2 linked regions of the Rattus norvegicus genome follow. The main gene of each other region encodes a partner of the protein of the gene in region 2 in a complex. Links are inferred from orthologs where the notes say so. Each region holds a gene or a part of one and is shown on either strand. Other genes may lie near its edges.

The links. The genes of interacting proteins can lie anywhere in the genome.
Region 1: the proteins of Actr3 (region 2) and Arpc4 are in contact, whole or in part, in a cryo-EM structure (PDB 6YW6), measured with the Homo sapiens proteins. The link is inferred for Rattus norvegicus from reciprocal best matches to the Homo sapiens genes ACTR3 and ARPC4. Residues at the interface, in NP_005712.1 of Homo sapiens: Lys53, Gly54, Val55, Leu58, Glu121, Glu124, Tyr125, Glu128, Glu132, Tyr400, Glu401, Pro405, Arg409; in NP_005709.1 of Homo sapiens: Lys89, Arg92, Phe93, Met96, Arg97, Glu99, Asn100, Arg156, Ile159.

Annotation. Positions count from the first base shown.
Region 1 is NC_086022.1:148,082,566-148,090,460, forward strand, and holds the end of Arpc4 (actin-related protein 2/3 complex subunit 4), read left to right. Parts: intron 1-1,245; coding exon 1,246-1,341; intron 1,342-2,384; coding exon 2,385-2,555; coding exon of another isoform or gene 2,556-2,582; exon of another isoform or gene 2,583-4,970; coding exon 4,971-4,976; 3' UTR 4,977-5,862; downstream 5,863-7,895. UniProt on the Homo sapiens protein: Actin-binding component of the Arp2/3 complex, a multiprotein complex that mediates actin polymerization upon stimulation by nucleation-promoting factor (NPF).
Region 2 is NC_086031.1:39,374,216-39,382,110, reverse strand, and holds part of Actr3 (actin-related protein 3), read left to right. Parts: intron 1-1,988; coding exon 1,989-2,044; intron 2,045-3,952; coding exon 3,953-4,077; intron 4,078-7,895. UniProt on the Homo sapiens protein: ATP-binding component of the Arp2/3 complex, a multiprotein complex that mediates actin polymerization upon stimulation by nucleation-promoting factor (NPF).

The DNA.
Region 1 (7,895 bases), on a different chromosome or scaffold from region 2:
TGTGTAGGCCAGCAGTGTGTGGGATGGGACATCCAGAGTCAGGAAAGAAAAATGCCAACAACTGTCAAAATTAAAGTTCTGTCTACCAATAATCACCCAGACAAATGTCATTTATTTTCTTTGTGTATTTTCTCTAGTAGTTTTCTAGTTGGAGGACATACTTGTAGGTCGCTTATCCATCTTGAGTTAGTTTTTGTATGTGGTGTAGATTGGTGTCTAGGGTCATGCTTCCACATTAGAATGTTCAGTCGTGAGAATAATTTGTTGGAGAAATCGTCACCATTGTGTGACCTTGGTGCTTTTGTTGGAATTCAGGGGATTATAAATATTTGAGTTTCATTCTGAGCTTTCTGTTCAATTCCAACTCATATATGTATAAGATAGAATTTCCATTCCTTTCCATATTTCTTTTTTTTTTTCTTTTTTCTTTTTCCTTTTTTCCGGAGCTGGGGACTGAACCCAGGGCCTTGCGCTTGCTAGGCAAGCGCTCTACCACTGAGCTAAATCCCCAACCCCTCCATATTTCTTTAGGCAGTGTTTCCCAAATGCCTACCACATCGATCTGGGCCTTTCTGTCTCTGACAGAAAACTCAAGTGGTTATTTAAAGTTTGTTTTAAATTTGAGCTCTATTTCTATTTCCACTTTGGGAAGAAACTATGTATCCTAAATGGAAAAAGAATAACATTTGCCCCTTCTCTGCAGACAACTCTCAAAATAGCAGTCAAAACAAAACAATGTTGCAAAATTCAGATTAGCTACTTCTTGCCTAGGAGAGCTTCAGGGTTAAAAAGACGAGGAGCAGGCAGCCGGCAGCGGGCATCTGATTACCCAGATGCAGGTGTAATTGGAAGAGCTGATTTGGTGGTTGTTGGATTTTAGTAATGTTGAAGCAGACACTCTTGAGGAAGTCTCCAATATCCACATCCCATGTGTCACTGGTGCTGAGAAAAACCACTAGTGTCCTGAGGGTATTCAGGAAGCTTGTAATACAGGTGTGGACTCCATTGGGACTGATGAGAGTCTGGTGTGAGATGCACTCAGTGATACTGGTTAAGGGAGACTGACCCTGGGAGGACTTCTTTTCATCATCAGCAGATGCTGTAATTCAAAGATCTTTGGTCCTGCCAAACCTTTCAGCAGTGTCTGTTAGCCTGGGGAGGCAATGGGACCAGAAAACCAGGCTCAGGGCAGTTTGGACATTAGTGTTGACTTTAAAAACTGTCTTTCTCTTTTGCTGTTGACAGGCTGATGAGATTGAGAAGATTTTATGCCATAAATTCATGCGCTTCATGATGATGCGAGCAGAGAACTTCTTTATCCTTCGAAGGAAACCTGTGGAGGTGAGACCTGTTTATTTGTAATTCCCAGGATTCTGTCTGCGTGTGCCCCAATGTTTGATTTTTGTAGTATTTGGGGATGGAACCCAAGGCCTTGCACTGCTGGACAGGTTACTGTGCTACACCCTGGTTCTGTAGGATTGCAGCCTTTGGGCTGCTGCTTCTGGTTAGGGTTTCACTGCCTGGGCTGAGTCAGCCCATACAGTGCCCTCCTCCTCCTCAGAACCTCGGGCCTAGTCCCAGACAAAACAGTGATTTTAGAATCCTTCCTGCTGTTGGTGGTGTGCATGCTTGTACAGCGTGGGGGTGGCTAAGGTGGGAGAATTGTGAGTTAGCAGTGAGGCTAGGCACACTGACATGGGGTAGTGTGGGGAACACAAAAGCCAAACAAAAACTTTCCTACCAACTGTGAAGTCCAGCCTCTCCGTGCCACAGTCAACAGTGAATTGCTTGTTGTCTGCCTTTGTACTTAAGGTACTGAAAGGTATGTCAGCTCCCTGCCAAGTCTCCCTGGTGACCTGGCAGACACCATCAGCCAACACACCGAGTGTCAGCCTCTGTGTTCTTCACCCTGCTCCCAGTCCTCACTCGAACCTCGGGGCCACTAGAGTGAGTGAGCCCTTCTTCCTCACACAGCTCCTGAAGCAAACAGCTCCAGTCCCATCCTTTTCCGTGTCAGTTTTCCTGTTGTTTTTACTATTGAATTGGCGTCTTTGAAATAAGACTTCTGGTTCCTTTACTCCCTTGGCTCATTTCAAATACAAGGCTATTTGTGCCACGAGGACATCTGGTCTGGCACACGATTTTGAATTGGGTTCAGTTGCTTGGGTCCAGCAGATGCACAAATGTACACTCGCCCCATACCCCAGCACCACCCCCACCCACCCAAGCAAGTTTGGATTGCTGACTGAGGGGTAATATATAGCTCAGGAAAAAATGGAGGCCGGTTAGAAGTCTTTTGAGTGGGGAAAAGATATGACAACTAGGCATCCCTGGGGGGCTAATTTTGTCTTGTCTCTTCCTTCCCCGATGGCTTCCCTCCCTAGGGTTATGACATCAGCTTTCTCATCACCAACTTCCATACGGAGCAGATGTACAAACACAAACTGGTGGACTTTGTAATCCACTTCATGGAGGAGATCGACAAGGAGATCAGTGAGATGAAACTGTCAGTCAATGCCCGGGCTCGTATCGTGGCTGAGGAGTTCCTCAAGAACGTGAGTTGGGCCTCCCTCCCCTCTTGATGCCAGGGGTGGGTTTTGTGATGGCACTCGAAAGATAGTCCTAAGTCTCTTCAGACCCAGAGAATGACTAGCCAAGATCTTTGAAGCACAAGGCCAAAGATTTCACCCTTGAGAGCCACAAGGCATTTTCTATTTCTCCAAGACTGGGAGGCAAGTCACCGATGGAAATTCCAGTTCTACACAGTCTTTACCTGTCCTAGTTCAAAGCCCCAAGTGAGGAAGATAGAGTGCTTTGTGAATCTTCTGAGACCAGAAGACAGCCCACTTCTCGAACAGACTTAAATATTTTTCTTCAGTGTCTGTTTTCAGGCTCGTTACTATGGTTTCTTCAACATGTTTCCCATTACTCATGGTTGTGGCCATCTAACTGAAAGGCCTGGAGTGCTCAGAAGAGGTGGATTGTTTACTCTGTGGAGCTGGTAGCATCGTTTTGTCTAGAGATTCAGCACATACTCCTGCCTTCCTTACAGTCTCCGGTTTGGTTTGTTGATGCATTCCACTCAGGGCTGTCCGATCCCTCCATGGTAGAGTTAGTGTTTATCCCTACTGGTGCATACAGAGCCAGCCCATGGGAGCTCAGAAACCTAAAAGTGGAAATGACACCCACTTCCCCTGGGGTTTAATTATCCTGTGGGTGGCCAGCACACAAAGCAGTGTTGTTTATACTCATAAATCAGACCAAGTGAGGGCCTGGCTCCTCTGCCTCCTCCAGGCATGTCAACGAAGTGCTCAGCTAAGCCTGGTTTCCTCAGCTGTGGCCTGAGTGCTGTTCATATGCACCTTTCAGGGAGTTGAGCATTAAGATCACAGAGTGCTTAGTACACTCCAGGTATGGAAACAAACGCCACAGTTCCAGGACAGATCATAAAGACTCTCTAGGTTCATTTGACCAAAGGGAATTGTCCCAATCTAGTATTTAACTTAATTACTTGATCACTTATAATTTGTATGCATGAGGAGAGACAGACAGGCCATGGATCCCAGAACAGGGCCAGTATCCAGTCTCCCGAAGCTGGAGCTATGGGAGGTAACTGGCGATCATGCTGGCCGCTGACCTCCAGGGGGAGCTGTGTTCACTAAGCTGTTTTCCCAGCCCCTAGAAGTTAATATTTATTGTCCAAGGCTCTGGAAGTGAAGCTGCCTGTGCAGCGTCCACCTAGTAACTGGGAGGAGAGGAATATGAAGCGGGGTTTCTGGTTTAAGCATCTACAGTAGGGCGACTGGTGGTGCTGCGGTGTCAGCAGGCAGTGTGTGTGGCTGAGGGGCTTTGTGGAACATGGTAACGCTTGCCTCTGACAAGGGTTGCCACCAGGCAGCTGCAGCCTGCTACTGCACCATTGTCCTGCTTCTTCTTCTGGAGCTTGGAGTTGAACGGAACTGAGGGCTTTGCTTGTTCTGCCCAAACCCTGGTCTCTGTCTCCAGCTTGCTTTTTATTTATATTTTGAGTTCAAATCTCACTGTGTAGTCCCAGGAGTCTTGGAATTTGCACTCATCCGGCCTCAACCTCTGTAGTAGCTGGGATTGCAGGCTTATATAACCAGGCCAGAACAAATTGTTCTGAACCCCCAATTTGGATTTGTAGTAGCATCTGTTGTCTTCAAAGTCATAAACAATTCATAGCTTTGAACATCATGTGGCCCAGGCTTGGGCTGTGCTCAGTCATTGAGCAGGGTCTGGTTTATAGTACCCAGGATTGTCCTTGGCACACTGCGGCTACCTGAAGCAAAAAGCATTTTCTTCCTGTCTCTTCCCTTCCCCATTTTTCCCTCTCTTTTGATCTTTCTGGGAGGAAGGCAGAGAAACAGGTAGCCTCTGCTGCCCCTGAATTCACTGTGGCTGAGTGTGGCCTTGAACCTCCTGATACTTGTGCCTCCACTTTCCTGAGTGCTAAGATTGTGAATGTGTGCAGCCGTGGGGGTCAGACAGCTCTTCTAAGGCCTATTCTGGTTTGACAATCACCCAAAGCTTAACATAGGATAACATAAGGATAACATAAAACCTTGTCCTTCTCTCCTTGGCTCCCTGAGCCCTCCAGCCCCTCACACATGGGCCTGTATCTAAAGCAGCTTCAGTTGCTAAGCAGGCTACAGGGAAGTCCTCATTTTTTCTGCTTTGTTTAATTTGTGTGTCAGTATCTTCAGATCATTGCTAATGTCTGGCCAGATTAAGAGCGTGTTTGTGGGACTGTAGAGATGATTGGGTGGTTAAGAGCACATGTTGCTCTTTTTGGGGAACCTGGGTTTGGTTCCCAGTATTCACATGAAGGTTCACAAAGAAAGAGTATGTTCATGAAGTGCCAAAGGCTGATCTGGCTCTCAGAGACCTGAACAGCAGCAGCTCCCCAGGACACAGTAACCCCACTCATTGCCTGTCATTCTCTCTGACAGTTTTAGACCATCTAGCTGGATCTCGCAGCCTTCCCCCTTGGCCTCCCCTGTGTCTCTGCGTCTGCGAAGGTGTCCTGGAGTCACTCCCCGGAGCAGCGGTGCAGCAGCAGCAGCAGCAGCAGCAGCAGGAAGCTGGGTTGGGTGGGCATTGGATGCGGGAGGCGGGTGTGGTGAGCTTGCTGGCTGTGCAGAAAGGCAGCAGTGGACCTGCCCCATGGCCACATGCGTCTGGTCTGGCTAGCTTCTGATGCTCAGTCCCCTGGGCCGGGACAGCCTTTTTTTTTTAAATGTCTTGAAACCTAAACTCTGTGCTTGTAGAAGACTGTAACCTTTTTTGTCTTTTTTTTTTTTTTTTTTTTAAACCAACCTCCACCTCCAGTGGCTGTGACTGGCCCCAGTGATTGTACCTTATTGGTCGCTGTGGTCTGGGCGGGCCTGGAGCCAGAAGGCGACTATTTTTCCCCAGAGCCACCCCAGGTGGGGAGAGAGGGAAATTTCAGACTATAGTTTTTTTTCTTGCTGTCTTACCCACAAGCCCCCTTGGGCCTTGTAGAGGTGGTATGGACCCTCTGCTAGCTTCTTGAGTTCTGCCTGAAGATGCCCACTGCACTGGTTGGGAACAAGGGCTGATTCCATGATTGCCGGGCAGGCCTAGGAGCTGGGGTCAGAAGCCAGGCAAACTTCTGGCCGCAGGGACTGCCTGGTGTCCATCCAACACCCTTCCAGCTGAGAGGCCCCAAGGTTGGCCCATCTGGGTACAGTGCCTGTGCTGGAGGTGCAGAGGTGAGTCCTGCCTGCTCAGGCCCCTCTGCTCCCATGCTCGCTGTCTCTGATTCTGATCAATTCCCCCGCCCTAATTAAAGTCTTTTTCTGCCCCTTTGGGGCTGCATGAGGTCTGTGCTCTGTGTGTATGTGCGAAAGGATGTGTGTTTTATTTCCTGGAGCCTTGTGGCTGGCGCTTGGATCTGGAGCAGTCCAGCAGACATTTGTGTCATTGATCCCTGCCAAGGGCCCCAATCGACCTTCACTGCAGCCAGTCACCGCCGTTCTGAAGGTGGTTTCTGCCTGCACAGAGATGCAGTGGTCTCCACATCCTGCTTCCATACTGGCTGACAGGGAACCCAGAAACCACAATCCCAACTTGTGAATAAGAAAACAGGCTCCACAGCCCTAAATTGCTTGCTCCAAATTTCCCATTCTGTGAGCAAGAGGAAGACTTCTTCTGAAGCAATCATTCCCCACACTACCTAAAAATCTTGGTCTGATCGTTACTTAGCAGGTGTTGGGTGGTAACTCAGTATTGAACGTGCTCGGGGAGTTCTGTCAGATGATGTTGACTCCTGAGGCAAACGGTCCTTTCTCATTGTTTCCTGACACATAGAGACTACTTGTGAACTATAGAGCATTATCCCTGTCACACAGATGCTAGTAGGTGAACAGTAGCTGATCTCTACCTTCTGTTTAATTGTGTGGGCTGGCCATCAGTCCTGACATCCAGTCCTACTTTGACAAAACTCAGTTCCAGTCAAAATGAGGTCTGTCTGCAAACAGGCAGTGAGAGTGCTGTTCCTGGTTGGAGGAGGGATGGGGCCATAAGTATGCTTACAGGAGAGAGGGTATCAGGGAAAGCTGGAAAGTACCTGGCCTCGAGCCAAGTGTGGTAGCTCACACTTGTAATTCTAGCACTTGGAAATTGGAGACAGGACCACTTCTGTGAGTTCTAGGTCATGCTGGAAGCACAGTCTCAAATGGCATGTGTGTGTGTGAGAGAGAGGGTGCTGAGCTTTTTGGATGGGCAACAGAATATTTGCTGGGGTTTGGGGAGAATTCCCAGTGTTGGGATTGAACCCAGGGCCTTGAGCATAGTGTGCAAACCTACCACTAGGCTATATCACCAGTCCCCAGAAGAGTCTTTTGAAAAGAACAAGTGTTAAAGGAGGGGTGGGGACAGCTTGACTGGTTACCATGCCTTTATGACACTACCTCTGTGACCTGCCTTATTGAATTAGTTAGGTCCTTTGTGGTACCTGGCTTTCTTTATTCTAACTTTGTAGTAACTGTTAGAGGTACTCCTCGTGAAGGTGGGAGATCAGAAGGAAATGGCAGCTGGTCACTCAACCCTCAAAAGACATCCTTATTCCGGTGAGCCAGCCAAAGCCCTGCTTTGTCAAGGATTATCTCCCAATGTCCAAAGTCCTGAAACCAGATTTGCAAGATGAACACTGACCAGATTGCTGCCAACCAGCCAGTTCTCTCCTGGGAAATGCCATTACTAGCCAATATATGGGGATCTGTGGTTGGATTTGACAGGACAGTTGGGGGCAGGTGCAGGGACTACCTTCACTTCAAAGGCACATTTGCCTAGTGACTGACAGCTGGCTTCTTGGACTGTTTGAATAGACACTGATAGAGTTGGATTCTAAAACCCCATTTGGTGCTTCTGACACCCCCCTACACACACACCCCAAAGCAAGCCCAAGCGGCTGGACATGTAGCTCAGTTGCTAGACTGCTTTGTCTAATGTGCAGGAAGCCAAGAGTTCCATCCCAGCACAGGCATGGTGGCAGTCGTTGAAAGTCTGCCTGGGGTAAATGAGACCCTGTCTCAGAAGTGTTGGAATCAGAACTCTGTACTGAGGGGTTGGGGATTTTGCTCAGTGGTAGAGCGCTTGTCTAGCAAGCGCAAAGCCCTGGGTTCGGTCCCCAGCTCCGGAAAAAAAAAAAATCTCCAGAACTCTGTACTGGGATTGGCCATGTGCAATTTTTGAGACAAGTTTGAACTGACTTGGAGTCTCGATGTTTCCTTTTTTCTGAGAGTTCTGAAGATAGCACCTTGGTCACTTACAGACTTGGCCAGGATGAAGCCTAACTTCTGTACCTTTCCATTTCTCCAGTTGATAAAAATGATTTATTTTTACTTTTTCAA
Region 2 (7,895 bases):
CCTGCTATCATGTTTAACCCTTGTGAGAGCCCAGTTAACTTTTTCTACAGTCAGAAATTAAGAATATAGAGGCAGTTGGTTGTCTGGAGAGGTTGTGGAAGTTTTCAGCCAGAGGCAGTTGGTACACAACCTGCATTTTGCAAGATGAACAGGGTGTAGCGGTTGTTCTGGGCTGGAGGGCAGTCATCAGATGTAGTCAGAGCAGGGTTAACAGAGGCTAGTAGCATGAGATTAGATGAGCTTTCAGAGGCTGTCAGCAGTTCTATGGCTCCAGACTAACACAGCATCAGAGCAGCTTGGGGTTGGGGGTTGGGGAGGGGGCGTTCTTAGGCATCACATTAAAGGAGCAGTATCGTGTTTGAGAGTTTTCCTTCAAACAAAACAGGCATAGTCAGTGGGAAATATTGGAAGGTTTAGGTGACAGAGCAAAATCATATTTTGGACAGTCTGTGTTTCTCCTAATATTTACTGGTTGAATGTGTTTGGCATACTCAATTTTTTAAAACCTTGTTTTGGGACTGACCATCCCAAAAGAAGTGCTTTTTTTCACATTTGAAAAGTTTTCTGCAGATATTATCAGAGTCTAGTGATGTCACAGCAAATTTAGTAAGTTTGCATATAGAATAATACAAGTTGTGACTGGCTCTCTAATGCTTACTTGTCATTAACAGTGCGCACATCTATTTTATAAGTAGCTCTTAGCATATTGTCAAAGTTTCATTACAGTTTCTAATTATTATAATTTTTATTAATATTTTAATAGTTTTTATTTTTATAGGTGAATATCGGATCAAAACATTAAAAATCACTTTAATAGTATAACACTTAAGTGATATGAAATGACATATAATTTAATAAAATCATCTCACCTCTGTATCCTACTTGTTTTCCTCCTGTAGATGCAACCAAAAATTACTTATGTCATACATTTTAGAAATATTTTGTGTCTAGATTATCAAATGTATTTTTTTCATTTATTCATAATTTTCAATTATTTCATTTTTATGTAGATATAGCACACTTTGCTTATTGTTCTGTACCTTGCTTTGTTCAGCTACCCCAGTATATCTGTAGTGTTCCAGTCGGTTCATAAAGGGGCATAATAGCCACAGTGTAAACTGAGTGTATTTTGCTAGTTTCCCTTTGGACATTTCCAGTCTCTTGCCATTACAAATAAGGTTATAGAGAAGGTTTTCCTGTATTGCTTCACACATACAGTAATAGTCCCCTATTATTAGTTGATTGAAGTGGTAGTGGTGGGTGGGATGGCTCAGTGAGTATAGGTGCTTGCTGCCAAACCTGACTACCTGTAGACTTCTGTCTCTGAATCCCTATAGTGAAAGAGAGTGAGCTTATCTCTGAAGGTTATTCTCTGACCTCCACATGCTGTGGCTTGTGTACACACAGTAAATGAGTAAACTTACAAAGGGAGAGTATGCTGTCAAGCATCATGATCTGTGTTCAGTCTTTGGAACCTACATGGTAGAAAAGAGACCCAGGTTATCCCCTGACTTCCATACCTGCATTATGGTGAACACCTATGCATACATACATGCATTCATACATACAAAATGTACATTTTTTTTTAAAGCTGTGGGCATTTGAGTTTATAGCTTAGTAATAGAGCACTTGCCTATCTTGTGCAGAACCCCATAGTTTGGTCCACAATACAGCAGAAAGAAACAGAACTACAGACATATTTGATTTTGATAGTTTCTCTGTGTTAGAGCCCTGTCCTTCCTGCAACTCGTTTTGTAGTCAGGTTGACCTCAAACTCACAAGAGATCAGCCTGCCTCTGCCTCTCAAGTGCTAGGATTAAAGGTATGCACCACCATTGCCCAGGAAGTGATTTTGATAGTTTTCAAGGCAGAGATGCTGAATGAACTAAACTTTTGAATATGTATGTACAATGAACTCTCACTTTTTAACAAAAATTGCAGAATACATATTGAGGTTAGTGAAATTTTATGAAATTTTTATTTTGCAGATATACAAAACTAGGATATGCTGGAAATACAGAACCACAGTTTATCATCCCATCATGTAAGTATTTCTTTTACTCCGTGATTGAACTAATCTAAATGTCTTCCTCATTATCAAAGTGAAATAAGTCATTAAGCATGCTTTTATATCAGAATCAGGCATTTAGAAACATGATTGCCTATAAATGGAACCTTATTTCCAACTCTTAAATTTCAGGTCTTTACCAAATCTGCTAAGTATCTCTATAAGGAAAACAAAACAAAACCCAGTAGTGAATTGATAATTAAATAGTCTCTGTTTGAGGATTTTGCTGCTACCCCTGTGTGTGTGTGTGTGTGTGTGTGTGTGTGTGTGTGTGTGTGTGTGTCTGTGTGTCTGTGTGTCTGTGTGTCTGTGTATCTGTGTGTATCTGTAACTGGTTATTAAGTAGCACAACTCTAGTACCTGTAATTCAGCTAAGGTGACCATCCTTTGGCGGGAGGATGCCGTTACTGTTTGCAAGACCTGTCCTATAGACAGTTGGTGCAGACACCAATATTTGACAGTGAAGAGCCAGTGGTCCTTAACTCAGCAGCCTCACTGCTCTCTGATATAAGCTACTATGCTTGTAACATTGTCTTGGGAAACTTTTGTTCTTTTCTGCTTCTGTTAACCTTCTGCTGATTGTAACAGTTTTAGTAGATTTAGGTTGTTAGAGGTATTTTTATTAGTAAAGATGTATAGTACCCTCAGCATTATTTTTGTATTTTTGATTTCCATCATCTGAAAGCTGTTTGCATGATTATGAGTGAAGAGTTGAACTTACAAAATTAAAACCTAATTAGACTACATGGCAGGGTTTCTTTTAAAACAATGTTTTTATTTTTATTCATGTGTGTATGTGAGTGTCATGTGTGTATATACGGGCACCATATGTGTGTATGAGACACAGGAGAGTATCCAGTCCCCTAGAGCTGGAGTTATGGCAGTTGTGAATTAATGAGTGTGCTGAGAACTAAATGTGGGTTTTCTGGGTGAACTGTAAGCTCTCTCAATCACCAAGTCATCTCTAGTTCTGAAAAGTACATAATAGATTTTACCTCTGGGAAATGACACAGAATTCTGAAATTCTTTAAAGGGATTACTTCTCGTATTTAAGATTAAAATTTAGTAGATCTCCATTGGATAAAAATAAATAAAGATGCAAAGAAAGCTTGTTTTTAAAAGTTCTTTTTGTAGGTTTTCTTCTTTTATTGGTTAATGTTATTCATCTTTAATTTCTTGACTGTCCACCAAGTTTTATATTGACTTTATAAGATTAGAATTCTATTTTTAGCTTATTGTTTGTATGTTGAATATGGTTGCATAGTTGTCATAACATGCATGTAGAGGTCAGAATACATTTCTTACAGGTCTTATGTCGACCTTAGGTCATGAGATTTCTGAAACACGTACTTTTACCCACTGAGCCATCATTCTGGCCATACAGGATTCAGAGCTAAGCGAAGGGTTGGTAGCAAAGGACTGCAGTTCTTATTGTTTGTGAAGCTGAAGGGGGCAGGTTTCAAGTTTAAGACTGGCTGGATAACTTAGTAGGTTGTGTCTCAAAAGTAAAAAGTCTATAAGGGCTAGGTATATAGCTTGGTGGAAGTATATACCTGAATACGTGAGACCCTAGTAACACATATACATCCACATAATTAGAATCAAAATGGATTTAATAGATTTTGGAAATAGAGCTGAAACAGTCCCATAGTAATACCTTTTTGTGGTTTATACTTGAGGACTTGCCTCTGAGATGAAGCTGAGGTGCTGATGTACGAAAGGCCAGTTTCTTACAGCTTTTGTTCCCTAGTTAACAGTTTTAAGTATTCTGGATCATGCTTATTTGTTGTTTTTAGCAACATTTTACAGTTGAAGAAAGCAAGTTAAAAGTTGTTTGATTTGAAGAGATGAAAATTTAAAATGTCTAATTAACTTACTTCAAAGGTATTGCCATTAAAGAGTCTGCAAAAGTGGGTGATCAAGCCCAGAGGAGGGTGATGAAAGGCGTGGATGACCTAGACTTCTTCATTGGTGATGAAGCAATAGAAAAGCCCACATATGCAACAAAGGTATGTTTCTAAGAGGGTTCCAGTCAGCTGCCGGCCTGTCTCACTCTTGTGGCTTTGTTGCTCTCTCCAGACGAGTTTTCTGTTTTTTGTTTTAAAATTTTCACCTGTAACTGACTGTAGACCAGGCTGGTCTTGAACTCAGAGATTTGCCTGCTTCTGCCTCTTGAGTGCTAGGATTAAAGAAGCTTAAAGCCAGGATTAAAACCATCTGGCTCTGCTCTCCTCTTCCTTTCAGCTTTAACATATTGAAGTGGGTGGATTTACTTTTCCATGCCCATTGCCTCTCAGGGATCTCAGTAGGGATTGAGTTTTCTTTCTCCACATAGCTACATCTAGAAAGATTTCTTCATTGATCAGATATTCATTTCTTCTAAGTCACATGGGAATATTGTTCTTCCTCTTTCCTCCCCTTCTGTCTATCCCTTCATTGCTATAGAACTTACACAGTAAAGCAAGTAGTCTTCATTGTGTAGCTTAGAGAATGTATGCGGCTGATTGTACCAGGTAAGAGCAAATCTTGTAACACATCTTCCTGTGTCTTTGTTCATAGCTAACTACTCTAGCCTTCTTGGGAGGTAAACACTTCCAATCATTCATTTCCTCCTTCGTGCTTTTCTTCCTTTGTAATGTTAAATGAATAACTATACCCTACTATATGTAAAAATACAACATTAGGGTTTTGCTTTGTGCTGAAAAGAAAGTAGTAAGAAACAACTTCTCTCCCAGGGATATATTATGAAGTGAGTAAAAGGGAAAAAAAGCAGGATAGGATGTTGTAGGTGTGTGCTACAGAAGTTGTTATAACGTCTAGTTGGGGATTTAGCAGTCCTTGAAGGATAAATTATTGAGCTGAGTCTGGAGTTAGGTAAGATGTGCAGATAGTCATTAGGCAGAAACCAGTCATAAGAAGGCTTATGAGGAAGACAGGGAGCAGCATAGCTTATATGCCTGAAGTCCAGGGGCATCATGAGAGCCAGTCCACACACAGGTAACATCCATGGATATACTGGATCAACAGTGTTAATACGTTCTGTTTGACCTTGAATTTTGGCTGTATTTCTTTCTAGCTTTATGGTATTCAATGACTTAACTTTCTGTACTTTAGTTAGTCTAGTTGGGGATTTAGCAGTCTATTTATCTATGCAATGGAGCTATTAATAGTTCATGATTATTGTGGACCTTATTTAGAGGAAAGATATAAAGAAATTGTTGTAGTGCTCAAATCGTGAAGAGAAATTAATTGAGGGAGGCATGTATGTTTCTAAGACAATGATAGATGGCAAGGAATGTTCGTGACTTGGGCCAAGGCAGAAGTTCTCAACCTTCTTAATGCTAAGACCCTTTAAAATAGTTCCTCATGTTGTGATGATCCCCAACCATATATTTTGTTGCTGCAATTATGAATTGTAATATAAAGACCTGATATGCAGGATATCTGATACTCAACCCCCAAAGGGTTCATGATTCATAGGCTAACTGCTGGACTAAGGTAAATCTAGTAGGGATAAAGAGAGTTGAAAGGCATGTAGGTACGTGTGTGTTTATTCACATGTGTACATTAAAATGTTATAGAAAAATTCAAAGCTAAAAGTAAAGGGCTGGGTGTGGTGTGCATACCTTTAATCCCAGCCCTTGGGAGGCAGAAGCAGAGGCATCATCTTTGTGAGTCTGAGGCTATCCTAGTATATATAGCAAGTACCAGGCCAGTCAGAGCTGCATAGTGAGACTTTGTCTCAAAACAACAATAAATCAGTAAAATTAGAGGAAAAATAAATTGACCCCACACATGCCTGTCACTCAGCTTTGGCAGTTAACAAACTTGTAACTGACCTTACTTTGCTATTCCATTCCTAATTACTTTCTAGTCATTCACTTAAAAGTACTTGGCCCGTTAACAGTATTTTGTGGTTTTAGTCAGAGTTTAGTACATTTCTCTTGAATGTTTCCTAATTGGTAAATGTTTGGGTCATGGTTAAAATAAGGACCTTCCCCTGGATTTAGTAGTTAAGTCTCATGAGTCTTCTGCCCTATAACTTCTTTTTCTGTGTTTGTATTTTATTCTTATTTCTTGGTTATTTACTTATGGAGGAAAATCAGCAGTCTATTAAATTTCCTATATTCTCATCTCTTGATTGCACTTTTATTGTACATTTGCCATGATTCACCATTTCTTGCTTTTTTATTGTTGGTACAGAAATCTAAAAGTCTGAGTCAGAAGTATGCTAAAGTTTAAAGTTTATTTTTTGAGACTATGTAGTGTATTTGAAGTACCTGTGAGGCAGCTCACATGTTTTGAGACAAAATAATGTGCAGGCTTTGGAGCTCAGAAACAAGATGGGTAAGGTAGAGAGAAGGGGAGGGATCAGTTACTTTGGACAGTGAGCGATGTCACCTAGGGGAGTCTACAGCAGGAGAAAAGCCTGGGAAGTGTACTAATTAGACTTGAGTGGAGAGATACAGAGAGGTACACAGCATGAACTATCCAATAAGATGTCTGCAGAGGTACCATTTTAGAAATACAGTGGAGCTGGATGAATGTAGCTTTGTGAATGGTAGATCAGGAAAGACTGGCAGATGGAATACTATTTCTTGAGGTTAGGCTATGACTTGTGGAGGGAGAGATAAAAAGGTAAGATGCAGAAGTAAGATGGGAGAGACATTTAATGCTAAATATTGCTTAGAAAACTGAAAGGGGCATATAACATGGTCTTGGAGAAAGTTGTAGGAGTGCATTCTAGAAGACAAATTGGATGGGGTGGGAGCTAGAGAAAAGGTTCGGTGGGTTTTTTCATAGGGCCCTCCGCTCATAACCACCTGGCACTCCAGCTCCAGGGGTTAAGATACTTTTTTTTTTTTCTGAACTCTCAGGCACCTGCACTCACATGTACATAACACAGAGAGAAATAACCATGTATACAGAAATACAGGGAGTATTGCTAACATTGTAGTAGAAGTTTACAGATTTGGTGAAGTAGATTCAATTTCTCTCTTGAAATTCTTCTTTGTCTGTGAAACATACAAGGCATTACCTGCTGCCTATGGGAAGGGTTTCTAGGGAAAGCTGAGATTGGTGTGGTTAGAACATTGACAGAATCAACTCTATGGAGTGTCACATGAGCAGAGTGGCTAGTGTAGATGGCCTAGACAAGGTGAAGTGTCTTAGGTTGGGTTTCTCTTGTTGTGAAGAAATTCCATGAGCAAGGCAACCCTTATAAAGACAAACATGTAACTGGTGTACAGTTTCAGAAGTTCAGTTCATTATCATCATGGTGGAAGGCACGGCAGCCTGCAGGCAGACATGGTGCTGGAAGAGCTGAAAGTTCTATATCTTGAGCTGAAGGAAACCAGGAGGAGGCTTGGATTTCACAGTGGGTGGAGCTTGAGCACTAGGAACCCTCAAAGCCCCTCATATCTAACACACATCATCCAACAAGGCTACACCTATTCCAAAAAGTCCACATGTCCCAGTAGTGCCACTTCCCATAGGTCAAGTCTGTTCACACCACCACACATGCCTTCTACTGCATGTACTGCAGCCAAAGGTGTTGAGGACAACACTGGATAAGCTATCCATCCAGTCATTGCTGCTTACGGATTGAGTGTGTGAAAGGGTATTTGTCACAGAGATTCGGGAGCTTTCTTGGTGCCTTTTTAGAAATTTCAGTAACATTTTCACAGTGACAGCTAGAGTTTGAAAAAGAATGTGTGTGATAGGTGTTTATTAAGTAGTTAGCTAGCATGGTTCAGGCACCACAGTAGCCACAGGAAAAAGGCAACTTTGAAACTTGAAGGGAATTACTTCTTTTAACAATTCCTAT